Macaca fascicularis: one gene and its partners. The protein of the gene in region 1 interacts with the protein of each later gene in a pairwise test. Links are inferred from orthologs where the notes say so. Each region holds a gene or a part of one and is shown in the gene's direction. Other genes may lie near its edges. The genes, in order: ATF4, BFSP2, SNAP29, JUN, CCDC106, EGLN3 and DDIT3.

Region 1 (3,814 bases):
CCGAGCACGTGGCCGTGGGTTCCCAAGCGCCTCTCCTCCCAGGGCCATGGGCATGACCACTGAAAAGCGGGTTAGGCCGGGGAGTTCAGAACCCGGAGTGAATCGAAACTACCCCAGGTAGATGGCAGCGAAGAAAATTCTGTTCTTAGGGGAACGCAATCTTCGGACACCAGAAGTTCCCCTATGATGCTATTCTGTGGCAGCCTCGCACTTGAGCCGGATGAGAATTGTAAAAACCCAGGTTGGGCGACAGGACGGCGCGTCTTCCCGGCTCCTTTCCAGAGTTTAGACGGAGCCATGCAGACTCAGCTGGCCTTTGAGTGTAGGTGGGCAGGCCCGAGGCGCCCTCTCGAGACCCCTTCAACCTCCCGGGGGCAGCAACACCGTGTCGGCTATGAATGGCGTCTCTGGAAAACTCAGGCTTGGAACAGGTAACCCCGCGGTTTCCGCAGGCCAGAAATTAGCCCCCGCAACCGAAGGACGCGCAGGCTGGGAGTGGCGGCGGGGCCGCCAGTGGCGGACCTCCACTGAGGGCGGCGGGACCCGACCGCAGGGGCTGGGCCCTGAGGCCACTATGGGGTGCGCTAGGCTAAGGTCTCCTGGGGGCAGAAGCCAGTGCGATTGTAGCTGGCCAGCAGGCTGGCCGGCCTGAGGCCTGGCAGAGACCCGAGACCCCGACCCTTCCCACGCGGACTCCGTGATCCCTCTCCCAGCAGCCGCCCACCTGGGGCCCTGAGCCAATAAGAGCTCGAGGTATATATGACTCACCGTGCCTGGGCCAATCAACTTGACGCGCGCTTTTCGCCAGCACCTCGCGCGATAACTTGGCGTCCTCGGCCTTCACAATAAAAACTCTCCGCCGGAAAACGACCTCTCCCCGCCCACCGCGCCGACACCGGAAGCGAGGCGTGTCTGCGAGATCACTCCGCGCTCCGGCGGCGAAGGAAAGAACGGACTCTGATCATAGAAGTAAAGTAGTGCACCTCTCTCGTTTCGTGAGGTCATAAGAACAAACACCTTTTCTCGTCACAGCTACGCGCTGGGCATAAACGGTTGGGGCGTCAAAGGGAGGGAAACGAGCGGGCGGGAGGAGATGGTCACGTGGCCGTGGCGGAAGGATGCGTCGGTGCTGCGTCCCCTTAGAGACGAAGTCTATAAAGGGCCGGCGGGCGGCTGTTGCGGCCATTTCTACTTCGTCCGCCCACAAATGTAGTTTGGTTCGCACGTGTGCGCCTTCCCTCCTCCCCGCCCGCAGGGTCCACGGCCACCATGGCGTATTAGGGGCAGCAGTGCCTGCGGCAGCATTGGCCTTTGCAGCGGCGGCAGCAGCACCAGGCTCTGCAGCGGCACCCCCCCCCAGCGGCTTAAGCCATGGCGTGAGTACCAGGGCGGGTCGTCCAGCTGTGCTCCCTGGGCCGGCGCAGGTTTTGGGTTGGTGGGGTGCGGCCTGGGGCCCAGGGCGGTGCCGCCAAGGAGGAAGCGATTTTACGAGCGCCCGGGACGCGTGGTCTTTGCTTGGGTGTCCCCGAGACGCTCGCGTGCCCGGGATCGGGAAGGCGCATTCTGGTGCCAGGACTGCTTCCACAGGGGCCCTGCCGCCCTCGGACCCCGAATCCCCCAAGGGTCCCAGGGGTCTCGGCTTTCCCCCCCCGCGAAACGTGGCAAGAACCAAGATGGCGGCGGCAGGGCGGCGCCGCGGGCGTGAGTCAAGGGCGGGCGGTGGGCGGGGCGCGGCCGCCCTGGCCGTATTTGGACGCGGGGACGGAGCGCCTTCCTCTTGGTGGCCGGTGGAAGAATCGCCTGGTCTCCGTGAGCGTCCATTTTGTGGAACCTGAGCCGCAGCAGGGAGGGGCGGATGCAACTGCCCCGTTGCCGACTCTGTAGATGGCTGGACTAGAGAAGTCCCGCCTCGTAAGTGGAAAGATGAAATTCTCAGACCAGCTAACCTCTAATGGGAGTTGGCTTCTGATTCCCATTCAGGCTTCTCACGGCATTCAGCAGCAGCGTTGCTGTAACCGACAAAGACATCTTCGAATTAAGCACATTCCTCGATTCCAGCAAAGCACCGCAACATGACCGAAATGAGCTTCCTGAGCAGCGAGGTGTTGGTGGGGGACTTGATGTCCCCCTTCGACCAGTCGGGTTTGGGGGCTGAAGAAAGCCTAGGTCTCTTAGATGACTACCTGGAGGTGGCCAAGCACTTCAAACCTCATGGGTTCTCCAGCGACAAGGCTAAGGCGGGCTCCTCCGAATGGCTGGCTGTGGATGGGTTGGTCAGTCCCTCCAACAACGGCAAGGGTGAGTGGGCCACCACCACATCGTCTGGGTGGGATCTAGGGTTAGGGGCCTGTTATCTTTGTATCTGACTCACTTGGCCCTGTCATTCAAATCTTTTGCAGAGGATGCCTTCTCCGGGACAGATTGGATGTTGGAGAAAATGGATTTGAAGGAGTTCGACTTTGATGCCCTGTTGGGTATAGATGACCTGGAAACCATGCCAGATGACCTTTTGACCACGTTGGATGACACGTGTGATCTCTTTGCCCCCCTAGTCCAGGAGACTAACAAGGAGCCCCCCCAGACGGTGAACCCAATTGGCCATCTCCCAGAAAGTTTAACAAAACCCGACCAGGTTGCCCCCTTCACCTTCTTGCAACCTCTTCCCCTTTCCCCAGGGGTCCTGTCCTCCACTCCAGATCATTCCTTTAGTTTAGAGCTGGGCAGTGAAGTGGATATCACTGAAGGAGATAGGAAGCCAGATGCCACTGCTTATGTTGCCATGATCCCTCCGTGCATAAAGGAGGAAGACACCCCCTCAGATAATGATAGTGGCATCTGTATGAGCCCGGAGTCCTATCTGGGCTCTCCTCAGCATAGCCCGTCTACCAGGGGCTCTCCAAATAGGAGCCTCCCATCTCCAGGTGTTCTCTGTGGCTCTGCCCGCCCCAAACCTTACGACCCTCCTGGAGAGAAGATGGTAGAAGCAAAAGTAAAGGGTGAGAAACTGGATAAGAAGCTGAAAAAAATGGAGCAAAACAAGACAGCAGCCACTAGGTACCGCCAGAAGAAGAGGGCGGAGCAGGAGGCCCTCACTGGCGAGTGCAAAGAGCTGGAAAAGAAGAATGAGGCTTTAAAAGAGAGGGCGGATTCCCTGGCCAAGGAGATCCAGTACCTGAAAGATTTGATAGAAGAGGTCCGCAAGGCAAGGGGGAAGAAAAGGGTCCCCTAGTTGAGGGTAGTCAGGAGCGTCAGTGTGCTTGTACATAGAGTCTCTGCTGTTGCTGTGTGTTGGAATAAATTATTTTGTAGGGAAAGTACTTGTGTGGATTCTTTTTCTGGCAAATTAGCCGAGTGAGGCGCCACCCACCCATCCCAAACTGGTCATAACATTCCTTGTGAGATCTGGGGAGGAGGGCAGTCCAGGACTGAAGATGGGTACCCAGAGTGGGAACTGCTCGCCCTGCTAGGTGTAAGCCACGATGCCTGATGACTCATGGGGCCATACAGCCAGATAGTTGGCCAACTGTAGCAAGTTGGGTCCTTTACCCAGAGGTGAGTTCGCTGGTTGTGTAGGGAGGAGGCTGGAGCTCTCTGGGAGGTTGGGAGGGAGGGACAGCCTGGGCCTCCACCTATTTATTCAAGAGGGCTTCATGCCAACAGCTGTCGCCTGAAACCCTGGATAAGCTTGCACAGTCCTTGAGATAAGCACACAAGATTAGTTTTCACTTGTTACCCTGAGTTCTGTAGAAGCGTGTTCCTGAAGAAAGAAATGGCTCCTTTTCGGAATTGATGCTGAAGCAGGACAGGAGCTGAG
Region 2 (4,040 bases), on another chromosome or scaffold:
CCCTGGACCTCCTTCCTCCTGAGGCTGAGTTGAGAATTCCATGAAATAAACTATACGATTCATCCACACACCAGGCTGGATCAGGTATTCACTAGAGGTTGGCTCCCTTCTCCTTCTCTCACCTGAGGTACATTCCTACATTACAGCATTTGGAAAAATATCCAGCTCTGGGGTTTGGTGACCTGGTTTCTCCAGGGTAAAACTTATGTACAGCGGTTTTTAGGTCCATGTTGTCATCCTGAAACTGGAGGAACCTTTCTGACCCTAGAGAATGGATTGAGGTGTGACCCTTGATGGTTTAGTGGATGCCAAGGTCAGTAATTAAAACCCAGGGGTGTCATCATATCCTAACTTGGGGCACCCTTGGAGAGCTTACCAGAAAACACCGTCTTTGTTGTTTTTCTCAGTTTTCCAACAGATGGAGAAGCAGAGGTGTAGGGAATGGCTGGAACATAATGTGTGGGACCTGAATCTGCCCAAGGTCCTTATCTGGTGCATCAGAGAGTTGGAGGCTCATGCCAATGTTCAAACAGTGAGGTCCAGAGGGAGGAAGCATCCTGGCCAACAGCAAGCAGCTGATGAACAGCAGAGCATTAGAGGACAGAGATGAGGAGGAAAGGACAGAGGCGAGGCAAGGACCTGAAGCTGCTGTCAGGACTGAGAGAGGAAACCGTAGGCAAGTCTTTTCTCTTGGGTCCCTGGAGCTGCCTCCTGACACTTTTCATCTTCCATTGCCTGTGTGGACATGTGTTCACATTCACATGTGCCAGTACACATAGGGATGTAGAAAGCCCCAAAATAGCTAGATTGAGTCCTAGCTTGTAATTTGAGGTCTGGGGCAAGTGATCACCACACTTGTGATCTGAGGTCCTTGAGCCTCAGTTTACTCGTCTGTAAAATGGGGTTGCCTGATGCCTGCCTTGCCCACTCTTAGGTAGTAAAATGTACAAACCCAAATGGTCTACCCCCACAGCCTGCACTGATCCAGCCTCCCCCACCACCAGCAGAATAATCTGGGAGGTTGGGCACATGACCCTGCATCAAAGAATGCATGAGTGCCTCTCTGCACACAGCCCTGGGCAGTGCCCTCTTCTCTTTCAGCTCAGTGAATGATGGAAACTCATGGAAGACAGCAGACAAAGCAGCCCCGGGGATAGGGGAGATTCCAGAGAGGCCCGTGACCAGGCCACAGGGATGCTGGGGCTGTAAACCAAAAGCCACTGGACTCTGTAAACCCACTGGGCGCCACAGAGGCAGAAGGGGTGATGAGCGAGAGGCGAGTAGTAGTGGACTTGCCCCCCAGTGCCAGCTCCAGCATGCCCCTCCAGAGGCGCAGGGCATCCTTCAGGGGGCCACGGTCATCATCCTCCCTGGATAGCCCCCCAGCCTCCAGGACCAATGCCATGAGTGGCCTTGTCCGAGCACCTGGGGTCTATGTAGGAACAGCACCCAGTGGGTGCATAGGTGGCCTGGGTGCCCGTGTGACCCGCCGGGCCCTCGGCATCAGCAGTGTCTTCCTTCAGGGCCTGCGGAGCTCAGGCCTGGCCACAGTGCCGGCTCCAGGTTTGGAGAGGGACCATGGTGCTGTTGAGGACCTAGGGGGCTGCCTGGTGGAATATATGGCCAAAGTGCATGCCCTTGAACAAGTCAGTCAGGAGCTGGAAACACAACTGCGGATGCACCTGGAGAGCAAGGCCACGCGCTCGGGAAATTGGGGTGCCCTACGGGCTTCCTGGGCCAGCAGCTGCCAGCAGGTAAGTGTCCAGGCTGTGCCAAGGGCTTTGCAGAGGGCTGGGAGGGGCTGCTGAGGGCAGGAGTAAGGTTGTGAGTAGGCTGAGGCCAGAGAAACTGACCATAATGCCCTACACTTTCACACTTAAAATGTTCATGATAACAACAATGCTCCTTTTTACCAAGGTTTACCAGGAGCCCACGCTAGCCCCCATACGTGCACTATCCACTGTCTTCTTTACAATTTGAAGACATGCTATGCAGTGGATCATTCATTGATTGCACTTTTGAGATGAGAAACTGAGGCATGTAATTTTCCCAAGACTTCAAAGCTAGTAGAGGGATGAAGATGAGATTTGAATCTGAATTTTTGTGCCTTCAAAGTTGCATGTGCCCCATTACCCTGAGCTGCCTCAGTCACCTTTACTGTTGAGAAGGGATTTTTACAGTCAAATACCATTGGATGGATGTGGTATTAAGAACAATGAATAAATGGAGGTGTGTTCCTGTATCCACCTATAATCACCCTGTTCAATAGAAATGTGAGGTACATTGGTAATCAACAAGTTTCTATTACCCACAGTAAAACAAGTAAAAAGAAGCAGGTGAAGTTAATAGTATAGCTTACTTAACTCTATATGTCCAGAATGTTATTTCAACATGTAATCAATACAAAATATATGAATGAGATAATTTACATTCAAGTAGAACTTTCTGCATGATGGAAATATTAATATCTTATATCTACACTGTCCAATCTGGCAGCCACTAGCCAGATATAGCTATCAAGCACTTGAAATGTGGTTAATGAGACTGAGGAATTGCGTTTTTGTTTTATCTAATTTTCATTAATTTAAATGTAAACAGCCATGGGTAGCTAATGGCCATCTTATTGGACAGGGAAGGATGCAGAGGTTTCATCTTTCTCCCTTGCTTGGTCAGCCCTGCGTTTCCCACTCTCCAGGGTGATTTCTGCAGAGTCTGGAGCTCATCCATCATGTCTGGCCTGCAGCCTGTAGTTCTAATGCTGGGACTCCAGCCAGCATTGCACCTCTCAGCTGGTCTCTCTGTGGATGGTTGGCTTCTCTCCTCCTCTTTCTCTCCAGACGCTGGTCTTGGGATCACTCTGAGCAAAATCAGTCTCTAACCCACCAGGGACTGCCACTGGAGTCTAGTATGCAGCCTCCCAAGAGGAAGTCACAAAATTTTATTTGTGTGTAGCCGGGGGATGCTAAGCAGGTGCACACAGGGACTCCCCATTTGCCCTTCCTGCCTCCCATTTCGTCCCAGGATGCTTCTCCTGCACTGCTCTCAGTGCCCACTGACAGCACAGAGTGCATGATGAGCAGCACCATCCTCTCAGGCTCTCCCCCTGGTGCTGCTGTTCTGCTTGCATCCATCCGGGCTGCGAGGGAGAGCCATCTTAGAATAGTCCAGGGCCTTAATGCCTGTCAAATCTAAGAGGCAGCCATTCCTCCAGGATTCTTCACAACTGTCCAAATATTGTGCCATAACAACCACCAGAACATCCCTAGATACTCCAATATGTCAGCATCTGCTGGACAATCGCTTGCACTCAGATGCCACACAGACTTGTCAGGAGAAATCAGGTGTCCCAATGGCTAGGTTAAAAAGTAGGGCCACAAAACTTAGTTTATACTCAACAGATACCGACTTGCTCTGGCTCCAGATAGCTACAAGAGCCCTTGCAACGTACTGACTTCTCTGGGCCTCAGTTTCATTATCTACAAAATGGGTATAATAATGCTTAGATATTCCTGCAAATCCACAGACAAATAAGATGACTGGCTCCTGCCTACAGGTAGAGTACAGACTAGGAAGCTCTAAAATCCTGTGAGCGCCGCAGCCACACACCAAGACATGCGACCTCTGTAGCTGAGGGCCAGGGTCTCACATGGGCTCACTTTCCTCTTCAGTGATTGTAAATGAGGTCCTGGGTATTAATAAAGTTCTCTTTTTCTTCTTTTTTAAAAAATTCATGGCCTTGAAATTAGACCAATTGATAAAATGGAGTTATTATTTCTTTTTTTTTCTTTTTTTCTTTTTTTTTTTTTTTTGAGATGGAGTCTCGTTCTGTCACCCAGGCTGGAGTGCTGTGGTGTGATCTTGACTCACTGTAACCTCCCACCTCCCAGGTTCAAGCGATTCTCCTGCCTCAGCCTCCCAAGTAGCTGGGATTACAGGCGCATGCCACCATGCCCAGCTAATTTTTGTGTACGTTTAATGGAGATGGGGTTGCACCATGTTGACCAGGCTGGTTTCGAACTCCTGACCTCAGGTGATCCACC
Region 3 (3,500 bases), about 20 Mb from region 1:
CAGCCTGCAAAGCTAGCTGGAACTGGACTGTTAGAAAAACGTGTAGATGCTGGAGAAAATCTCTTTAATCCTAATGTGTAGCTCTGCCTTATTCCAGAAAAGACCACAGTATGGACATGAAGATGATAAACTTGAGGTAATGGAAGAAGCAGAAACACCAGATATGTTAGCAGCTCTTTTTTCTTTTGAAAACTAGCTCTTGCAAGATTTGCTTGACATACTGACTGACACAGTCCAGAAAACATTTTTCTTTTTAGTTAAAAAAGGCTGATGGTTTTTTCAGACATGTCTTGTGAACTGGCGAAAAATGTAAATGTTGAAAGCTGTAAAATTCAGCGGTTCTAAGTTTATTTCCAGCAAGAGTTAAAGTTTAATAGTAAATTCAACCAGTGTTTTAGCTTTTTGCGTATACATTATGTTTTTAAATTTCACCCATTAAACAAGGACTTAGGTTACACATTGATTCCTTAAGGACTTTAAGGAAGCCACAACCATTTATTTATAGTTGCATTTTGCTTTTCTGATTACAGTTGCATTTTACTCTTCAGCGATTAAAGCTTTTTTTTTTTTTTTTTTTTTTTAACTTTGTTTTTAGGCATCAAGAGAGAATATATCTAAAAAACACTTGTGGCCGGGCGCGGTGACTCACGCCTGTAATCCCAGCACTTTGGGAGGCCGAGGCGGGCAGATCACAAGGTCAGGAGATCGAGACCATCCTAGCCAACACAGTGAAACCCCATGTCTACTAAAAAGAAATACAAAAAATTAGCTGGGCGTGTTGGCGGGCGCCTGTAGTCCCAGCTATTCGAGAGACTGAAGCTGGAGAATGGTGTGAACCCAGGAGGCGGAGCTTTCAGTGAGCCGAGGTTGCGCCACTGCACTCCAACCTAGGCGACAGAGCGACACTCGGTCTCAAAAAAAAAAAAAAAAGTATTTGCATAGTTAGTGTAATTGCTAAGCCACAGGGTGATGCGTGGATAACAGATTCAGAGGAAGGCAGCTGAGGGCAGAGGCTGCCTGAGAGCAGGAAAAAGAAGCTTGAGAGCCTTCTGGCTGGAAAGGCAGCTCAACAGATGGGCCGCAGCCGTAGATCAGTTCTGAAGCAGAGACTGAAGCAAGTTTGTCATAAATAAAGGAAAGTGGTAGTGTTCCTGTTGTGGTGGATGTATATCCACAACCAGAACCTTTAGCTCTGGAGGGACCATCAGGCTGCCACTGTGGCCAGAGAGCATCACTCACGTCTCCACTGGGCAGATTTGCAGAGACTCATCTGTGAACAGAGCAAGTCCCTGCCTCCTGGAGCTCATATGCTGTGAAGAAAAGAGAGGCTGGGTGCAGTGGCTCATACCTGTAATCCCAGCACTTTGGGAGGCCGAGGCAGGTGAATCACCTGATGTCAGGAGTTCGAGACCACCAGGCCAACATGGTAAAACCCTGTCTCTACCAAAAATACAAAAAACTAGCTATGCGTGGTGGCAGGCGCCTGGAATCCCAACTACTCTGGAGACTGAGGCAGGAGAATCACCTGAACACAGGAGGCAGAGGTTGCAGTGAGCTAATATCATGCCACTGCACTCCAGCCTGGATGACAGAGCGAGACTCCATCTCAAAATAAAAAAAGGATGTGGAGAAGAGGGTTGGTGGTTGGAAAGAGTTCTCCTTTAGGGAAGATGTCTGGGAAGGCCTCTCTCAGAGAGTGGCCTTTGAGAGGAGACCCTAATTGGATGAGGGATGAGAGGCTGAGCCATATAAGTATCCGGATGGAAAACATTACAGGCAGAGACAGTGGTGTGTGCAAAGGCCCTGGGACAGGGTCACACATGTTAACAGGTTTTAAAGCTGGAATTGCGGATGAACTAGAGTCAGACATTAATAGGACCAGAAGGGACACTGGTCCCTGAAATAGAATTCGAGGATTTGACCATGGCCAGAAGGCTCAGGTGGCCCACTGGGACCTCCTAAAGTGGGAACTTCATAAAGGAGGAATATAAGAACCAAAGTCCAGGTGGCAGTGCCAGGCCCCAGTCTGTGAGGGTTCCCAGAATTGGTGGGCTAGAGAGAATCTGCTTCCAGTTCAGGCCCTGGACTCTGAACCTCACAGGCACATTGCCATCCATCTTACCCGCTGCCCCCAGCATCGAGATGGGGTCTTGCTCTGTTGCCCAGGCTGGAGTGCCGTGGTACAATCTCAGCTCACTGCAACCTCCGCCTCCCAGGTTGAAGTGATTCTCCTGCCTCAGCCTCCCGAGTGGCTGGGATTACAGGCACCCACCACCACAGCTGGCTACTTTTTGTATTTTTAGTAGACAGGGGTTTCACCATGTTGGCCAGGCTGGTCTTGAACTCCTGACCTCGTGATCTGCCCACCTTGGCCTCCCAAAGTGCTGGGATTATGGGCGTGAGCCACTGCGCCAGGCCTCTGCTATCCATCTTAACATGGTGCCGTGAACCAGCCTCTCAGGAAAAGGGTCTCATGAACAAATGAGGAAAGCAAGCAGAGGTAGGGCAGGGAGGGAGAGGCAAAGGAACGTGTTGTTGGAAAGGGTAGTGTGCCCCTCACAGATGATAGTACCCGTCTCCAGATGTGCCCACTGAGAGTTTATGAAGTGGCTGCTCCATGTGGTCCTTGACTGCCCTAGGGGAGAGTCACAGAAAGCTATAATACCACCGCCTCTTGGTTTCCCCAGGAGCTTGTCCGTCAGCGAGGAGTCCTGGAGCGCACAGAGAAGATGGTGGACAAGATGGACCAAGATTTGAAGATCAGCCAGAAACACATCAATAGCATTAAGAGCGTGTTTGGGGGGCTCGTCAATTACTTCAAATCCAAACCAGCAGAGGCCCCACCTGAACAGAATGGCACCCTCGCCTCCCAGCCCAACAGCAGGTGAGTGTGTCTTCTACCATCTGGGTATAAAGGAGCAGAAGTGGGGATTAGTGCAAATGACCAATTGCTTTCAGTCCACGTCAGTGTCATGAAGGGATCCAGCAACCCTTTAAGTTACTCATCAGGATATTTGTCCTCAAACATTGTGAAGCCAGAAACTGTTCTTCCGTGTTCCCATGTTCACTTGATTGACATGTAATCTGTCAACTGCTTCTCCGATAGTTGTGACCCCACTACTTTGAAAGAGAGGGTGTTCGCCTCAGCGTAATCAGTACAAATGTGACTCACTTCACATAATTTTTCCTTTAAAAAGTCTTTAGGGCTGGGTGCAGTGGCTCACATCTGTAATCCCGAAACTTTGGGATGCCAAGGTGAGTGGATTGCTTAAGTCCAGAAGTTCAAGACCAGCCCGGGCAACATAGTGGAACCCCAGTCTTTACAAAAATTACCCAAGCATTGTGGTGCACACCTGTAGTCGCAGCTCCTCAGGAGGCTGAGGTAAGAGGATCGCATGAGGCCTGGAGGTCAAGGCTGCAGTGAGCTGTAATGGTGCTGCTGCACTCCAACCTGAGCTACAGAGGGAGGTCCTGTCTCAAAAAAATAAAAAAAAAAAAAT
Region 4 (4,148 bases), on another chromosome or scaffold:
CACCACACACTTTCGTCCCTAAGGGGTGGGGGGCGGGGGGAAGATAAAATAACAACCGCGGAAAAGGAACCACTTACATGTGTCTAGCGCTTCCTAGAGGCTACTCAGGATATGGGCCCACCACCCGGCCGGGAAGGTGGAGATTTGAAGTCCAGGTTCTACCCCGGGCTCCTGAGTTCTACTGCGTTACTTTATGCGAGTGTCCCCCGCCTTCTGAGCTTGTTTTCCCGGAAGCAACTCGGCGCGGGTGGAGAGTGTGTGCGTGTGTGTGTGTGTGTGTGCGCGCGCGCGCATGTTGTGCGTGTTGTGTTAAGCGTGTGTGTGTTGTCCGGGGGCGGGAAGGGGAGTAGACTAACACCGGGGTTCCCCGAGTTTCGGATCGCCTACACGCTTGTTCCCATCTGGACCCTGTTACCCACTAATTGCGCCCACTATAAAAACTGCCCCTCGGAGGCAAAGCTGTGATCCCCCGCGCCCTTTCCCCCACGGTCCCGGAGGATGAAGTGGGGTGCAACGGAGACTCAGCTGAGCGTCCAGTTTTGGGCAATACAAATCTCTCAGCTTCTAAGAGCAGCCAGACAACCCCGCGGACCATCGCTCCTGAACTTGACCGAGATGCAAACTTCGCAGCGTTTCTCAACGTGGGGGGCCGACTCTCGGGAGACCGCCCCCAAACTTAAGCCCCCTTAGGCTCGCCCCCAACTGGGACTTCACAGAGCCACCTTAAGGGCGGCGCTCCCGCCCCCCGGAAGTGCGGGGGGGCGGCGGACCTGGACTCTCAGCCTCCCGCCCCGCGCGGTGGCGGACGCCGGTGGATGACTTCGAGCCCCACAAGTGGGGAAACACAACCACCCCTCGCCCGCACCCTTGACCCAAAACAACTGGCCGGGTTCCCTGGCCTCCCGGGTCCCCGCATCCCCTGCATCCCAGTCCGCAGCCGTGAACTTGAGCCCCCTCCGTCAGATGTTGCGAGCGTCCGCCCGCTCGCGGCAGCCACCGTCACTAGACAGTCAAACCCCAAGACGTCAGCCCACAATGCACCGGGCGGGCCGGGAAAAACGGCCCGGGGAGGGGACCGGGGAAGAGAGGGCCGAGAGGCGTGCGGCAGGGGGGAGGGTAGGAGAAAGAAGGGCCCGACTGTAGGAGGGCAGCGGAGCATTACCTCATCCCGTGAGCCTCCGCGGGCCCAGAGAAGAATCTTCTAGGGTGGAGTCTCCATGGTGACGGGCGGGCCCGCCCCCCTGAGAGCGACGCGAGCCAATGGGAAGGCCTTGGGGTGACATCATGGGCTATTTTTAGGGGTTGACTGGTAGCAGATAAGTGTTGAGCTCGAGCTGGATAAGGGCTCAGAGTTGCACTGAGTGTGGCTGAAGCAGCGAGGCGGGAGTGGAGGTGCGCGGACTCAGGCAGGCAGACAGACACAACCAGCCAGCCAGGACGGCAGTATAGTCCGAACTGCAAATCTTATTTTCTTTTCCACCTTCTCTCCAACTGCCCAGAGCTAGCGCCTGTGGCTCCCGGGCTGGTGTTACGAGGAGTGCCCAGAGAGCCTGGTCTCCAGCCGCCCCCAGGAGGAGAGCCCTGCTGCCCAGGCGCTGTTGACAGCGGTGGCGAGCAGCGGTACCCACGCGCCCGCCGGGGGAAGTCGGCGAGCGACTGCAGCAGCAAAGAACTTTCTCGGCCCGGAGGGCCGGAGACAACTGGCCCAGAGTCCCGGAGCGAACTTTTGCAAGCCTTTCCTGCGTCTTAGGCTATTCGGCGGCGGTAAAGACCAGGAGGCGGCGGACAGCCACGCAAAAGAAGAAGGACGTGCGCTCAGCTTCGCTCGCACCGGTTGCTGAACTTGGGCGAGCGCGAGCCGCGGCTGCCGGGCGCCCCCTCCCCCTCGCAGCGGAGGAGGGGACAAGTCGTCGGAGTCTGGGCGGCCGAGACCCGCCGCTGGTCGGCCTCTGCGGGTCGGCACTGATCCGCGCCGCCGGGAGAGCCGCTGCTCTGGGAAGCGAGTTCGCCCGCGGACTCCAAGGAACGGCGGCGCCCGAAGAGCGCTCAGTGAGTGACCGCGACTTTTCAAAGCCGGGTAGCGCGCGCGCGAGTCGACAAGTAAGAGTGCGGGAGGCATCTTAATTAACCCTGCGCTCCCTGGAGCGAGCTGGTGAGGAGGGCGCAGCGGGGACGACAACCAGCGGGTGCGCGCGCTCTTAGAGAAACTTTCCCTGCCAAAGGCCCCGGGGGGCACGGGTGTCCCCCGCTTGCCAGAGCGCTGTTGCGGCCCCGAAACTTCAGCACGCAGCCCAAACTAACCTCACGTGAAGTGACGGACTGTTCTATGACTGCAAAGATGGAAACGACCTTCTATGATGATGCCCTCAACGCCTCGTTCCTCCCGTCCGAGAGCGGAGCTTATGGCTACAGTAACCCCAAGATCCTGAAACAGAGCATGACCCTGAACCTGGCCGACCCAGTGGGGAGCCTGAAGCCGCACCTCCGCGCCAAGAACTCGGACCTCCTCACCTCGCCCGACGTGGGGCTGCTCAAGCTGGCGTCGCCCGAGCTGGAGCGCCTGATAATCCAGTCCAGCAACGGGCACATCACCACCACGCCGACCCCCACCCAGTTCCTGTGCCCCAAGAACGTGACAGACGAGCAGGAGGGCTTCGCCGAGGGCTTCGTGCGCGCCCTGGCCGAACTGCACAGCCAGAACACGCTGCCCAGCGTCACGTCAGCGGCGCAGCCGGTCAGCGGGGCGGGCATGGTAGCTCCAGCGGTAGCCTCGGTGGCAGGGGGCAGCGGCAGCGGAGGCTTCAGCGCCAGCCTGCACAGCGAGCCGCCCGTCTACGCCAACCTCAGCAACTTCAACCCAGGCGCGCTGAGCAGCGGCGGCGGGGCGCCCTCCTACGGCGCGGCCGGCCTGGCCTTTCCCGCGCAACCCCAGCAGCAGCAGCCGCCGCCGCAGCCGCCGCACCACCTGCCCCAGCAGATGCCCGTGCAGCACCCGCGGCTGCAAGCCCTGAAGGAGGAGCCTCAGACAGTGCCCGAGATGCCTGGCGAGACGCCGCCCCTGTCCCCCATTGACATGGAGTCCCAGGAGCGGATCAAGGCGGAGAGGAAGCGTATGAGGAACCGCATTGCTGCCTCCAAGTGCCGAAAAAGGAAGCTGGAGAGAATCGCCCGGCTGGAGGAAAAAGTGAAAACCTTGAAAGCTCAGAACTCGGAGCTGGCGTCCACGGCCAACATGCTCAGGGAACAGGTGGCACAGCTTAAACAGAAAGTCATGAACCACGTTAACAGTGGGTGCCAACTCATGCTAACGCAGCAGTTGCAAACATTTTGAAGAGAGACTGTTGGGGGCTGAGGGGCAACGGAGAAAAAAAATAACACAGAGAGACAGACTTGAAAACTTGACAAGTTGCGACGGAGAGAAAAAAGAAGTGTCCGAGAACTAAAGCCAAGGGTATCCAAGTTGGACTGGGTTGCGTCCTGACGGCGCCCCCAGTGTGCACGAGTGGGAAGGACTTGGCGCGCCCTCCCTTGGCGTGGAGCCAGGGAGCGGCCGCCTGCGGGCTGCCCCGCTTTGCGGACGGGCTGTCCCCGCGCGGACGGAACGTTGGACTTTTCGTTAACATTGACCAAGAACTGCATGGACCTAACATTCGATCTCATTCAGTATTAAAGGGGGGAGGGGGAGGGGGTTACAAACTGCAATAGAGACTGTAGATTGCTTCTGTAGTACTCATTAAGAACACAAAGCGGGGGGGAGGGCTGGGGAGGGGCGGCAGGAGGGAGGTTTGTGAGAGCGAGGCTGAGCCTACAGATGAACTCTTTCTGGCCTGCCTTCGTTAACTGTGTATGTACATATATATATTTTTTAATTTGATGAAAGCTGATTACTGTCAATAAACAGCTTCATGCCTTTGTAAGTTATTTCTTGTTTGTTTGTTTGGGTGTCCTGCCCAGTGTTGTTTGTAAATAAGAGATTTGGAGCACTCTGAGTTTACCATTTGTAATAAAGTATATAATTTTTTTATGTTTTGTTTCTGAAAATTCCAGAAAGGATATTTAAGAAAATACAATAAACTATTGAAAAGTACTCCCCTAACCTCTTTTCTGCATCATCTATAGATACTAGCTATCTAGGTGGAGTTGAAAGA
Region 5 (3,940 bases), on another chromosome or scaffold:
ACCTGGGTCATCTGGGAAGAATGTTTTTAAGCTGAAACAATTTTAAAACCACAACCTCCTATCACAAACACATTTTATATGGTAATAGAGTACACAGATATGCAAAATATATGTGAACCAAGTTTCCTTCCCTTTTTTTTTTTTTTTTTTAGATGGAGTTTCGCTCTTGTCACCCAGGCTAGAGTGTAATGGCAAGATCTTGGCTCACTGCAGCCTTTACATCCTGGGTTCAAGCGATTCTCCTGCTTCAGCCCCCCAAGTAATTAGGGTTACAAGCATGTGCCACCATGCCCGGCTAATTTTGTACCTTTAGTAGAGATGGGTTTCACCACGTTGGCCAGGCTGGTCTCGAACTCCTGACCTCAGGTGATCCACACACCTCAGCCTCCCTCAGGACCCTGGGCCTGGAAACAAAAGTTTCTTTACCATAGTTAGCTTTAGTATGTGTAGATTTTTTTTCATTAGCTGCTATTATTTGAGATGGAGTCTCGCAGTGTCGCCCAGGCTGGAGCAGTGGTGCAATCTCCACTCACTGCAACCTCCACCTCCCTGGTTCAAGCGATTCTCCTGCCTCAGCCTCCTGAGTAGCTGGGATTACAGGCACGCACCACCACGCCCAGCTACATATTTTTTTAAACTGCTGATTTCATCCTATTCTATTGAATTCTCCACCCATGAACCTATAGTTTGGAAAAGACTAATCTAGGGCAGGTGGCTCCCCCTGGAATTTCTGGACCAGGCTGCAGTTTATTTGTAAAGTGAAGTGGGGAGGGGAGGATCATGGGTACAGCTTTGCAGGCGGTGCAGACGTTTAGATTCTCCCTCCATCGGGTTAAGACCTTGCTCTCCTAAGGGCTGGCCAGAGTCCAGAGCATGGATGCTTCTGGTGAACAGGAGAGGCAGGTGGAGCTGAGCCTGAAGCTAAATAAACATCTGCTTATTAATTCATTTTTCTTGCCTGTCTGTGCCAGGCACTGTGCTAGGCCTCATTTGCTCTTCCGACCTCTTTTTTTTGGGAGGAAGAACAAATCTTCCGTTCGTACTCCCCAGAGTGGGAAAGGAAAGAGCCTCCCAGAGGTTACGATCATACCCCACCATCTGACCTCAAATAATACCAGCAGCGCTCCTCTCTCAAGCCCTGACTATGGCCAGGTGCTGGGCTGAGCTGTGTGTCCCATCACTGTGTCCTCACAAGAAATGTAGAGGGGCCTGTAATTTCCCCATTTTACAGGTGAGTTAACAGGCTGGGGAGGAGCAGGAACAGTCAGGACTGGAATCTAGCTCTGTTCCAAAGCCAGCTCTTAATTACCAACATGGGGGGGTGGTGGCGTGTTCCTGCCCCTCGTTTTTCTGGAGAGGGGTAACTCCCCCCATTTTGGCCCCCACATCCCTGAGAACCTTGGGGTCTGGCTGTAGGAGGTGGGGGAGCTCTGGGGGGTCTGCGCTGGCTAGTTCCTGAGATCGTTAAAAGTAGATTCTCCTTTCGCTCCAACTTTCCCGGTGTCTCACACACTCCTGCCTTCTCCTGGGCCCACTGGGCCCACCGCCACCCAATCCGGGGACCCCCGGAGGCTCGCCAGCTCTCCAGAATGGGAATTTCTTGACGTTCCCTGCCTGAGCTTCGGGGAGGGCGGGGGAGTGCCGTAAGGGGCTATCGCGCAAGTGCAGACCCTCTGCTTCTGCCGCAAACGGCGGGCCTCACCTGGACCAGGGGACTCTCCAACGAGGGGCGCTAGTCTGGCCCGACTGGGCGAATCCCCGCGTCCGTACCCGTTCCGTCGCTCAGTTCCACGACTCGCTCCCCTGCCGCCCCGCCTGTTCGCGGGTGGGTGGGCGCTTCCCTCGGCTTCCCGTGACACTTTGCAGACGCTCCCCGGCGCCGGGCATGGGCGCCGCCGCCGTCGGTCCCCGAGTCGGATTCCGCGCGCGGGTGGGTGAGCGCGGGGGGCCTCGGCCCCTCGGACCCCGGGCACCCGCGGGCGGGGGATGGTGACCGTATTTGCACCCCCGCCCTGATGCATTCCCCCGCTGGGATCTTTCCACGACTGCTCCCCCTCCCACCCCCGGGACAAAGGGCGGGGGCGGCGCATCCCCACGCGTGACCTTTCCCCGTACTGCGCACGCGCCCAGCCCCCACCACCGGGGGAGGGTCCGCACGCCCACGCGAGTGCGGGGGAGGGGTGTGGGACCCCGGAGGTAGGGGAGGCAGCGCGCACGGGCTGGACCTCCTCCTACCCTGGGAAGTTGGGGCAGTTTCCCTCTGCACCTGCCTCTTCCTTAGGCCTGGCGGTGGCCCGCGATGAGAGTCCTTCCCCTTCAGGCCAGGTGTCCCTGTCAGGCGACCCCTTGGGGCACCCAGCAATTTAGGGCTTCAGCTTCCTTTTCCTTCGATACCCAGGAGCCCACGTCCCCAGCTCACTTCTCCCCTAGGACCTCGGTGGCTGGGCCCCCTGTCCCTGGCTCTGGGAACCCAGGAGTTTGAAGCCCAGGCGTGTTTTGCCTCAGTCCTGGGGTCTGGGCTCCCTCCTCCCTCAGACCAGGGATCCAGGCCAGAAGGTCCTTCCTGCCTCACTTCACCTCCCCCAGGATGGACCCTCGAGTCCATCCGCGTCCCTCCATTTGTGGCTGCTGTTTCTGTCCAGTGCCCCTGAGGCCCTCGGCTGCTGGGGTCCGCAGGAAGCCACGCCATGAATGACCGGAGCAGCCGGAGGCGAACAAGTGAGGAAGCTGGGTCCCCTTCCCTACCCTGGGTCCCGGTGCGGTCGGTCGGCTCCAGGCTGCCGTGGTTGGGGGGTGGTCTGAGGGGCCCGGGACTTCTCTGGGGTGACCCGGGGCCTCTCCTCTCCAGTGAAGGACGATGAGACCTTCGAGATCTCCATCCCCTTCGACGAGGCGCCCCACCTAGACTCACAGATCTTTTACAGTCTGAGCCCCTCTCGGGGAAACTTCGAGGGTGAGCCGAGGGGGCGTGGAGGGACTGGAGTCAGCTGGGAAGCCAGGCCGAGTCCCAGGGTGTGACCTGGTCCCCCCACCCTCGCTGTGTCCCTAGAGCCTCCGGAGGCTGCGTCCCCCGCCCTGGCTTTGATGAACAGCGTCAAGGCCCAGCTGCACATGGCTCTGGAGAGGAACTCCTGGCTGCAGAAGCGCATCGAGGACCTGGAGGAAGAGAGGGACTTCCTGCGGTGCCAGCTGGACAAATTCATCTCTTCTGCTCGGATGGAGGCAGGTATGTGTGGGGTGCTCTGATCCACCTGCCTCCCTGTCCCGCTACTGGGTACCCGCTCACCCAGACTCGAGGCTCCACAGTTTGCCTGGCTGGGTGGGACCTGCCATGTTGGCCCTCTCTGCTAGTCCCCTGCCTGTTTTGGGCCCCCAGGCCCAGCTTCCTCTTCACTTGATGTCCAGGACCTCATCCCCATGAACTGTCTACTGGGGCCTGTCCTCCTGCTTTTTCCTTCAGCTCCCCAAATCCCATCAGCCTCCAGTGCCCTGCCATCTGCTTCCTTGGCCTATGGTGACTTCAGGACCCTGGAACCTGAGAGTCCCTCTCTTCTGACTCCTAGGGGGACCTTCCTTCATCTCTTTGGCCAAGAGGCCCACCCTAGTCCTTTGGGTTTCCTCAGGGGGCCCCTGATCCTCTTCCTGGCCTTGTCTTCTCCAAGATCCAAGAGTCCAGCCATCCAGCCTCCTCCTGTCCCCCCCGTCCCCGTGTGACACCAGGGGCCATCTTCCCACCCACCCTGTCCCATCCTTGGTTAATGAGTTCTCCTTCCTCATGAAAGACATTAAGGCTCTTCCTGTGTGGGCCTTTTTGGGTGGGGACCCCAGCAGGTGCTGTTCCTCAAACCCTGCCCCAGGTTCCTGGGCAGTCCCCGCCCACATACCTTGCTCTGCTATAATTCATGGCCAGAAGCAGCCGGGAGAGCTCCCATAGCAGCCC
Region 6 (3,500 bases), on another chromosome or scaffold:
AGTTTTAGAAAATAAAAAAGCCTGTACTAAAGTAGGCATCCTCTTGACATGTGTCAGTTTATTGCTTGGCATGTTTGTTATATGATCATTAAATTGTTCTGGCCCGTTCTTTTAACAATACAGCATTGAAGACTTCTCTTCTGTTAAACACTAAATCCCTTCCCCGGCTTGATGAGGTTTAGATAGCAACTCAGTTGGACGGATCTGCTTCCGGAGTTTGTTACTGCCCCGTGCACAAATTGGCACAGAAGTGAATGGCTAGTTATTGAAGTCAGGCTTGCTTCTTGGTGCATCCTTAGCCTCATGGTTTTAGACCCTGTCAAAGACGAGCAAATAGTTGGGAATGTGCCCAAGCAAAGACCCATCTCCTATGGCACTCATCCAGAAAACACACTGATAAAATTGGCCGAATGTAGCCTCAACTGGCCCACTGATGCTTGAAATGATTTCCTTCCATTGTTTCCAACTTGATGCATGTGGTTTCTGGAACCAGGAGAGAGGGTGAATATTCACTCTGGCCAGAAAAATTATCTCTGTTCCTCCCTCTTAAGCAGACAGATACTTTGCTGACATGTAGGGGTTTTGTCCTAATAGTAAGTCCTCTGGAATTGGCTGTTTGTCTCTGTGTGTTTTATAGATGCAGCATTTAGTAGAGGGTGTACTTTTGTGAGTTTGTATCCATCTTTTTTTTTTTTTTCCCCAATATTTTAATCTGAGCTGAGTTCTGAGGCAGAGAAACACTCCTTAATGACCTGAAGAACGATGTTGCTTTTTCAAGGGTTGATGCTTAGATCAAGTCTTAGATCTTCTTGGGCCTTTGACAGATGTGTAACCCAATCCCCTCTTTATAGGAAAGAGACAGCCTGGGATCACAGTTAGTTGCAGAGTGAACTATGGTAGGCATCCAGACCACTGACCTTTTCCTTAGAGAAGAGCTGTTTCAGCATATAAGATTATAGCATTGATGTCGTACTTTTTCTTTTCAGACACACTCAGTGGGGGGAGCGTGAGATAATAGTGAATCCAGCCTGTAATTGTTTGTGGCTTAAGCGACTTTCATTATTGGCTCTGTGGTGGCTCTTATAATCCTAATAGCTGCTTCCAGGGGTGGGTAATTCTGTAGTCATTATAGGTGACTTTATTTATCTCTTCTTCTCTTGCTAGGCCCTTCAATTCTGTTTGCTACCAATCACCCTTCCTCAAGCCATGCTTTGCTTAGTGGTACCTTCATTTGTTAAACCTTTATTGCTGATGTTGCCTCACAGTTTCACCTTCTGAAAGATGCTCAAGCTAACAGCCTAACTTGAGCTCTAAGGATGACATTGCATTGACATTTTCATGTTCAAAGGCAGGATATGGGGATTGTTTGCTGCATGAGGATATGGAGTTTGAGGGAGATGGTGATTTAAGATTTAAAATTGTTGTGAAGTCAAGTTACTATTCAGCCTTATTGTCGATCTGGTATGCACGATCTAGTATGCAAGGTGTGTGATGCCTAGTTCCATGTCATAGGAGCAGTAGTTTCATGCTACTATTGAGAGTGACTCGGCAGCCACGTTCAAGTTGATTCATTGAACCACTAGCCCATTAGCTTGGGGCTGTACTCAAATGGTCATTTTACCGATGAAGCAATGCTGCCATTTATCAGGAAATCTATGGACTGGATCCTTACATGTATGTTTGAAGATAGGTCTTTTAAAATGACAGAAATAGCTATTGATCTTGGTAAAACGTGAATTTACTCTTTAGAGAAAGAGCCATTCACTAGTTCATTGATTTATTTATCACATTTTAGATGGATACCTTCTATATGTCAGGCACTGTCCTAGGTGCTAAGAATACATCAGTGAGTAGAATAGGAAAAAAATTCCCTGTTCTCATCTTATGTTGTTGGTTCCAATATTTTCCTTGCACCTACTGCATCCCTATAAAAAATATTGTTAAAACATGGCAGTATCCTGTGAAGAAAAGAACTGGCTTTCTGTACTTTGCCTTCTTCCCTCTCCCCACTCTCTGTTACAGTTTTTCCCATGGAACAATTAGAGGTTTGTTTTCTCTAATAGTAATTTTCAGTAGGATTTTTGGTATGGCTTTCTACTTTATTCCTCCACCTGATTGATACAGGTAGCAGTTAGACAAAGAGAGCTTCAGATTATCACCTGATTTGATAATTATTAGGAAGAAGACATGCATTAAGAAACACATATTAAGATACATGCATGGCTTTTTTCCTGAAAGGAATCTCCCTGTATTGTCTTTGTTAACAAGTTAGGGCGTGGCTTCCTATTGATCTTCCTCTGTTCCTTCTATCCTAAGCATTTTATTGAGTAAGCCTGACCTTTTCCTCCTTTGGTGATTGGTTCTGTCACTTTGTGTATGCAAGTACCTTTAGCCATTGTTCTGAAACAGTGTGAGTGATTCAGGGGCACTTGCTAAACAGTCATAATCCTTAAGCTCCACACCTAGTGACTCTGATTTTGTAGGTCTAGCATGGGAAACTAGAAACTGCTTTTCTAAAAACGAGTATTGAAGAAAGGCAGGGCATCCAAATAGGTTATGCAAATAGGGCATGTAGTTAGGTTACTTTAAGAAAGACTGTGTAAAATGTTCTAGAACTTTGGGAATATTGTTGAACTACTTTCTACTGGACAGAGCCATAGTATGACCTGGCCATTACTCTTATGCACAGAAGGGTCCAAATTTATGTACCATACATGAAATTAAGAAGCCAGCAACTACCTGTAAATGTCACATAGCACCCAAGGAGACTGTGTTACTTATCTGCTCACCAGTGGGAGGAGAAGATTGTCTGTCTCAGCTTTGTTAACCAGCTTTCTTGGGATTTCTCCATAGGCAATGGTGGCTTGCTATCCGGGAAATGGAACAGGTTATGTTCGCCATGTGGACAACCCCAACGGTGATGGTCGCTGCATCACCTGCATCTACTATCTGAACAAGAATTGGGATGCCAAGGTACTCTTGAATAATGGGAGTAGAGTGTGGGGTTAAAAACTATAGGAAAATGATTCAGATAACTTAGAGGAGAGTTTATATTGGGTTCATAGTTGCCCTATCTCCCACTGATGAAACATTTCTATTTCCACTTCATAACCTCCTGCGACAGTGGAATTAGTACTAAAGTTGTTAAGAAGAAAATAATGAAGTTAATTTGAAGGGGGATAGGTAGGGTGATTATTAACCCTACCTCTGAGAAGGGTGGTTGATGAAGAGAAGGTAATTTGATATTAGAATTAATGATTAATTTTTTTCAGTTTAAATCAGAGTTGCTCTGACTCTCAATGCAGAATAAGATGTACACTTTTCCCTCCCAGAAGCAGCATTGGGAAAGTTCCACAAAAATAGAACTGTAGGATATAAAACCATCCCCAAGAGAGATTTCCCACACAGTCCTCTCCCTCAGGGTGATATGTCTCATTGATCGCTGCTTGCCATGGCTTACTATGGTTTGTGAATGCCAAAGGCTTTGTGGCTTATTTTTG
Region 7 (4,248 bases), on another chromosome or scaffold:
CACAGAAACACCACTCCAGTCACAACCGGCCTTGTGACAGTTTCTACTTAAACTCTGGCTGCCCCCATGAGGGTATGACAGGATATGTAACAGGCCACCACATGGCCTCTGTTTTCAAGGCACAAGAAAAATACTTTGCATTCTGCGTGGTGCGTTTTACTTTTGTTCAAGTTGCCTCCAAGTTCATGGTTCTCATTTTACCCTTACAACTCGTTGATTTACAAACAAGGACGGTAAGATCCCTTGGTAAGTGAGGGGGAGTTGAGGCTAAAATCGCGGCCCCGGTCTCCCCAGTCCACGGCGGTCCTGCGCTGAAGTGCACTTACACGTCCCAGGATGAGACTCCGCTGTAAATCTCGACCCGAACACCTAGGAGGCAGGCCTGTGCCGCGCTCCTCACAGCAGGGAGTCACAGGACTTGCTGTCTGGTACAGCAAGAGAGGGTCTTGGTATTGGAGAAAGCCGTAAGAGTATAGTGGGGGAAAATAGGTGGCCAAACAGAATTGGGTCCACTGGGTAAAATACATGACTTCTGGCAGGCTGAGGGCTTAGCAACTCCAAGGTAAAAGTCAAGGGCGCTGTTGTGAGAGAAGCGGAAAATGACTACCAAGGGATTCCAGTACCTCGGCCCCTTTTGGGAGATTTACGGGGCTAGACGACCCCGGTTTTTTTTATTTGTTTTTCGTTTTCGGTGAAACGTAGTCTCGCTCTGTCACCCAGGCTGGAGTGCAGTGGCGCGATCTCGGTCACTGCAACATACGCCACCAGGGTTCAAGCGATTCTCCTGCCTCAGCCTCCAGAGTAGCTGGGATTACAGGCGCGCATCACCACACCCGGCTAATTTTTGTATTTTTAGTAGAGACGGGGTTTCACCATGTTGGTCAGGCTGATCTGGAACTCCTGACCTGAAGTGATCCGCTCTCCTCAGCCTCCCAAAGTGCTGGGATTATAGGCATGAGTCACCGAGCCCGGAGACCTCTCTAAGACTCTCGAGATGTCGACAATCCCAGTGGATGGATACCAACTTTCAAAGGAAAAGTTCAAAAGGCCTATATGACCATTAGCTGGGAGGGGCCAAGGAAAATGGGAGTCCCTTATAGTGGAGGTAAAACGCCGGCTAAAGCTCGGTGGGCGGAACAGCAGCTTCTGGGGGAGACAAGCGGCAAAGAGGCTCCACACGACCGACTACGGACGGCCAACGCTGATAGCCGTTGGGGCCGTTGGGCGCCGGGAGCTGGCGCCCCGCCCTCTCTCCTTTCCCCCACCCTCTGCACCTCCCACCACCCTCGTAGTCCCCTGCGCGTGCGCGTGCAGACACCAGTTGCCAAACATTGCATCATCCCCGCCCCCCTTTCCTCCCCTCCCCCCGCTACACTCCCCTCCGCGCGCGCGCATGACTCACCCACCGCCTCCGTGAAGCCTCGTGACCCAAAGCCACTTCCGGGTCCGACACTACGTCGACCCCCTAGCGAGAGGGAGCGACGGGGGCGGTTCTGCGGAGCTCCTGAGTGGCGGATACGAGGGACGAGGCGGGGCCAATGCCGGCGTGCCACTTTCTGATTGGTAGGTTTTGGGGTCCCGCCCCTGAGAGGAGGGCAAGGCCATGGTAAAAGATTACAGCTAGGCGCTCCCGAGGTCAGAGGCTTAAGTCTAAGGCACTGAGCGTATCATGTTGAAGATGAGCGGGTGGCAGCGACAGAGCCAAAATCAGAGCTGGAACCTGAGGAGAGAGGCGAGTACTGACTCCCATCTGCCCTTTGCCCTCCCGTCTCCTCAGAGTTGGGGCATCCGCTCTTTAGGATTGGCCTCACGCCTCCACAGTGAAGTCAGGGACCGTCCGAGAGAGGAATGGGGAGAGTCCCTTATTCTGGGGTGGTGCTTACAAACCCCCATTGCTTCGGACGACAGCGTCTCTCCACCCCTGCCCGGAGCCGGAGCATGGGCCCTGCTCTGTGCTGCTGGGCAAAGGGACCTCGGCTGCCCTAGGGAAATTCATTCTCTCCCGTAGCCAACTTCAGGCCACCTCGTTAGGCCTGTCCGCGGGGAGGCAGCAGGACACACCCCCGCTCTAAGACTGAGTTACCATCGCTCAAACCGTTTCCGCCCGTTCGCCACCATCGGCCTTCTCCCTACCCTACCCCCAATCCTGTCTCAGTCTCAGCGTCTCTGGTGTCAGCATGGCCACCTCGGTAGCTGGGGCTACTGGACCCTGCAGGGCTGAAAGGGGAACCTTGACACAAGCCTTTGGGAGGGGTGCCGATGGACAGGGAGCGGTGTGTTTTCCCTTTGCCGTAGAGGTCTCTGGGCCTCCCGCACAAGAGAGCAGCCTGGATCTCTTAAGTGTAGGAGGCCATTTGGGGTCTCCCCAGGGTATCGTCCTTCCCTCGGGATTAGTCCCTGCCTCTTTAACCCGGTCCTGTCTCCCAGCTAATCTCTGTGTAACCATTGCATCAGGCCAGCCCCGTTTGGCTCTGCAGCCTTCTGACCTGAGGCTCCACTGCTGATGAAAGCCAAGTCCCACGCACTGGAAGGCAAGGGAGGGTTCCCCAGGGAAGACAGCCCTGCAGAGAAATATTTCGGGCAATATTGCATCTCCAGTCCCTAGGGATCGGCAGCTGCCACTCTGCGTCTGCCCCTTCCCTATAAGAGAGATTGGGGAGAATTCATTCATTCTTAACAAATACTTAATGAGGACCTACTGTGTGCCAAACAGTTTGGGGCTCAGGGAACATCCGTGAGCAAGAGGAAAAAATCATCTCAGTGGGAGGCCTACAGTAAACAAAATATAAGTGCCATGGAGAAAGCTAAAGCAGAGAAAGGAATGGAGAATGTTCAGGATGGAGGTTACTGTGTTACATCAGGTGGTCAGGAATTACCTTAGGTAATTCCTCCTCTCAAAACCCTCCAATGACTTCCCTGACATGACATAGGAAGTCACTGGAGAGTTTTGAGCAGAGGAATGACCTGTTTTAAAAGGTTCACTCAGGCTGCTGTATGGTGAATAGACTTACGGAGGGGTGGCAAGAGAAGAAATGGGAAGACCTTCTGCAATCAGGAAGTTTCTGCAGTAATTGAGAGATGGTGGTGAATTGATCTAGATTGGAAAGAATGGAATTAGAGGTGTTTAAATTCTTCTAAGCAAAGTTTTAAAAACTCATTTTTAAAGAATGAGTTAAGGGCCGGGCATGGTGGCTCATGCCTGTAATCCCAGCACTTTAGGAGACCAGAGGAGTGGATCACACGAAGTCAGGAGTTCAAGACCAGCCTGGCCAACGTGAAACCCCATCTTTACTAAAAATACAAAAATCAGCCAGGCATGGTAGTGCATGCCTGTAATCCCAGCTACTCAGGAGGCTGAGGCAGGAGAATCGCTTGAACCCAGGAGGCAAAGGTTGCAGAGCGGAGATTGTGCCACTGCCCTCTAGCCTGGGCAAAAAGAGGGAGACCCGTCTCAAAAAAAAAAAAAAAAAAAGTTAAAATTTGCTAGTACTTTGGATTGCAGGGTGTGAGAGGAATGAAGGATGATACCAAGGTTTTTAGCTTAAGCAACTAGAGTTGTCATCTGAGATGGGGATGACCTTGGAAGGGGAAAATCAACAAGTTTGCACATAGTCTTAGGTACCTATTAGACATTGAAAAAGAAATGGCAAGTAGGCAGTAGACAGCAGAGTCGGAAGTTCTGGAAGAGGTCCAGACTGGAAATACACATTTGGAGGATGTCAGTGTGGGAATGGAGTTAGGAAAATGCTACAGGATGTCAGTGTGGGAATGGAGTTAGGAAAATGCTACGATTTGTTCCCTTCCCTATAGTTTAGTCTTTACCCTGGCAGGTTTAAGGCCTGCCTTGAATTTAGAGAAAGCTGAGTTGGCCAGAACTTTGCTATTATGTAACCAGGACTACAAATGTCAGCAACTAAAAATAAAGTCAGGCCCTCTTCTGCCCTTGGAAATGGCTACAGGGACCAAGTATGCATACCCCACAAGACCAGAAGTAAGGACGGACCAGTAGGAGGCTGGAGATAAAAGAAAAATAAGGGCCCAGCATGGTGGTTCACGCCTATAATCCCAGCACTTTGGGAGGCGAGTAGATCACAAGGTCAAGAGATGGAGACCATCCTGGCCAACACAGTGAAACCCCATCTCTACTAAAAACACAAAAATTAGCTGGGCACGGTGGTATGCACCTGTAGTCCCAGCTACTTGGGAGGTTGAGGCAGAAGAATCGCTTGACCCTGGAGGCAGAGGTTG

Evidence for each region.
Region 2: the proteins of ATF4 (region 1) and BFSP2 interact in binary tests that used the Homo sapiens proteins (3 or more experiments, as listed by UniProt). The link is inferred for Macaca fascicularis from reciprocal best matches to the Homo sapiens genes ATF4 and BFSP2.
Region 3: the proteins of ATF4 (region 1) and SNAP29 interact in a two-hybrid assay, tested with the Homo sapiens proteins (2 studies listed by BioGRID and IntAct). The link is inferred for Macaca fascicularis from reciprocal best matches to the Homo sapiens genes ATF4 and SNAP29.
Region 4: the proteins of ATF4 (region 1) and JUN interact in binary tests that used the Homo sapiens proteins (3 or more experiments, as listed by UniProt). The link is inferred for Macaca fascicularis from reciprocal best matches to the Homo sapiens genes ATF4 and JUN.
Region 5: the proteins of ATF4 (region 1) and CCDC106 interact in binary tests that used the Homo sapiens proteins (3 or more experiments, as listed by UniProt). The link is inferred for Macaca fascicularis from reciprocal best matches to the Homo sapiens genes ATF4 and CCDC106.
Region 6: the proteins of ATF4 (region 1) and EGLN3 interact in a two-hybrid assay, tested with the Homo sapiens proteins (2 studies listed by BioGRID). The link is inferred for Macaca fascicularis from reciprocal best matches to the Homo sapiens genes ATF4 and EGLN3.
Region 7: the proteins of ATF4 (region 1) and DDIT3 interact in binary tests that used the Homo sapiens proteins (3 or more experiments, as listed by UniProt). The link is inferred for Macaca fascicularis from reciprocal best matches to the Homo sapiens genes ATF4 and DDIT3.

The regions. Positions count from the first base shown.
Region 1 is NC_088384.1:12,124,644-12,128,457, reverse strand, and holds ATF4 (cyclic AMP-dependent transcription factor ATF-4), read left to right. Parts: upstream 1-1,183; 5' UTR 1,184-1,376; intron 1,377-1,980; 5' UTR 1,981-2,072; coding exon 2,073-2,298; intron 2,299-2,399; coding exon 2,400-3,229; 3' UTR 3,230-3,314; downstream 3,315-3,814. UniProt on the Homo sapiens protein: Transcription factor that binds the cAMP response element (CRE) (consensus: 5'-GTGACGT[AC][AG]-3') and displays two biological functions, as regulator of metabolic and redox processes under normal cellular conditions, and as master transcription factor during integrated stress response (ISR).
Region 2 is NC_088376.1:36,333,195-36,337,234, forward strand, and holds the start of BFSP2 (phakinin), read left to right. Parts: upstream 1-1,240; 5' UTR 1,241-1,265; coding exon 1,266-1,754; intron 1,755-4,040.
Region 3 is NC_088384.1:31,834,204-31,837,703, forward strand, and holds part of SNAP29 (synaptosomal-associated protein 29), read left to right. Parts: intron 1-2,687; coding exon 2,688-2,884; intron 2,885-3,500. UniProt on the Homo sapiens protein: SNAREs, soluble N-ethylmaleimide-sensitive factor-attachment protein receptors, are essential proteins for fusion of cellular membranes.
Region 4 is NC_088375.1:175,918,076-175,922,223, forward strand, and holds JUN (transcription factor Jun), read left to right. Parts: upstream 1-1,348; 5' UTR 1,349-2,326; coding exon 2,327-3,331; 3' UTR 3,332-4,087; downstream 4,088-4,148. UniProt on the Homo sapiens protein: Transcription factor that recognizes and binds to the AP-1 consensus motif 5'-TGA[GC]TCA-3'.
Region 5 is NC_088393.1:63,601,615-63,605,554, forward strand, and holds the start of CCDC106 (coiled-coil domain-containing protein 106), read left to right. Parts: upstream 1-1,140; 5' UTR 1,141-1,231; intron 1,232-1,702; exon of another isoform or gene 1,703-2,077; intron 2,078-2,535; exon of another isoform or gene 2,536-2,642; 5' UTR 2,643-2,687; coding exon 2,688-2,718; intron 2,719-2,848; coding exon 2,849-2,953; intron 2,954-3,049; coding exon 3,050-3,226; intron 3,227-3,940. UniProt on the Homo sapiens protein: Promotes the degradation of p53/TP53 protein and inhibits its transactivity.
Region 6 is NC_088381.1:101,740,303-101,743,802, reverse strand, and holds part of EGLN3 (prolyl hydroxylase EGLN3), read left to right. Parts: intron 1-2,853; coding exon 2,854-2,973; intron 2,974-3,500. UniProt on the Homo sapiens protein: Prolyl hydroxylase that mediates hydroxylation of proline residues in target proteins, such as PKM, TELO2, ATF4 and HIF1A. Target proteins are preferentially recognized via a LXXLAP motif.
Region 7 is NC_088385.1:64,327,937-64,332,184, reverse strand, and holds the start of DDIT3 (DNA damage-inducible transcript 3 protein), read left to right. Parts: upstream 1-1,448; 5' UTR 1,449-1,563; intron 1,564-1,634; exon of another isoform or gene 1,635-1,669; coding exon of another isoform or gene 1,670-1,732; intron 1,733-4,248. Other genes in the region: DDIT3 upstream open reading frame protein, read left to right, coding at 1,670-1,732. UniProt on the Homo sapiens protein: Multifunctional transcription factor in endoplasmic reticulum (ER) stress response. Plays an essential role in the response to a wide variety of cell stresses and induces cell cycle arrest and apoptosis in response to ER stress.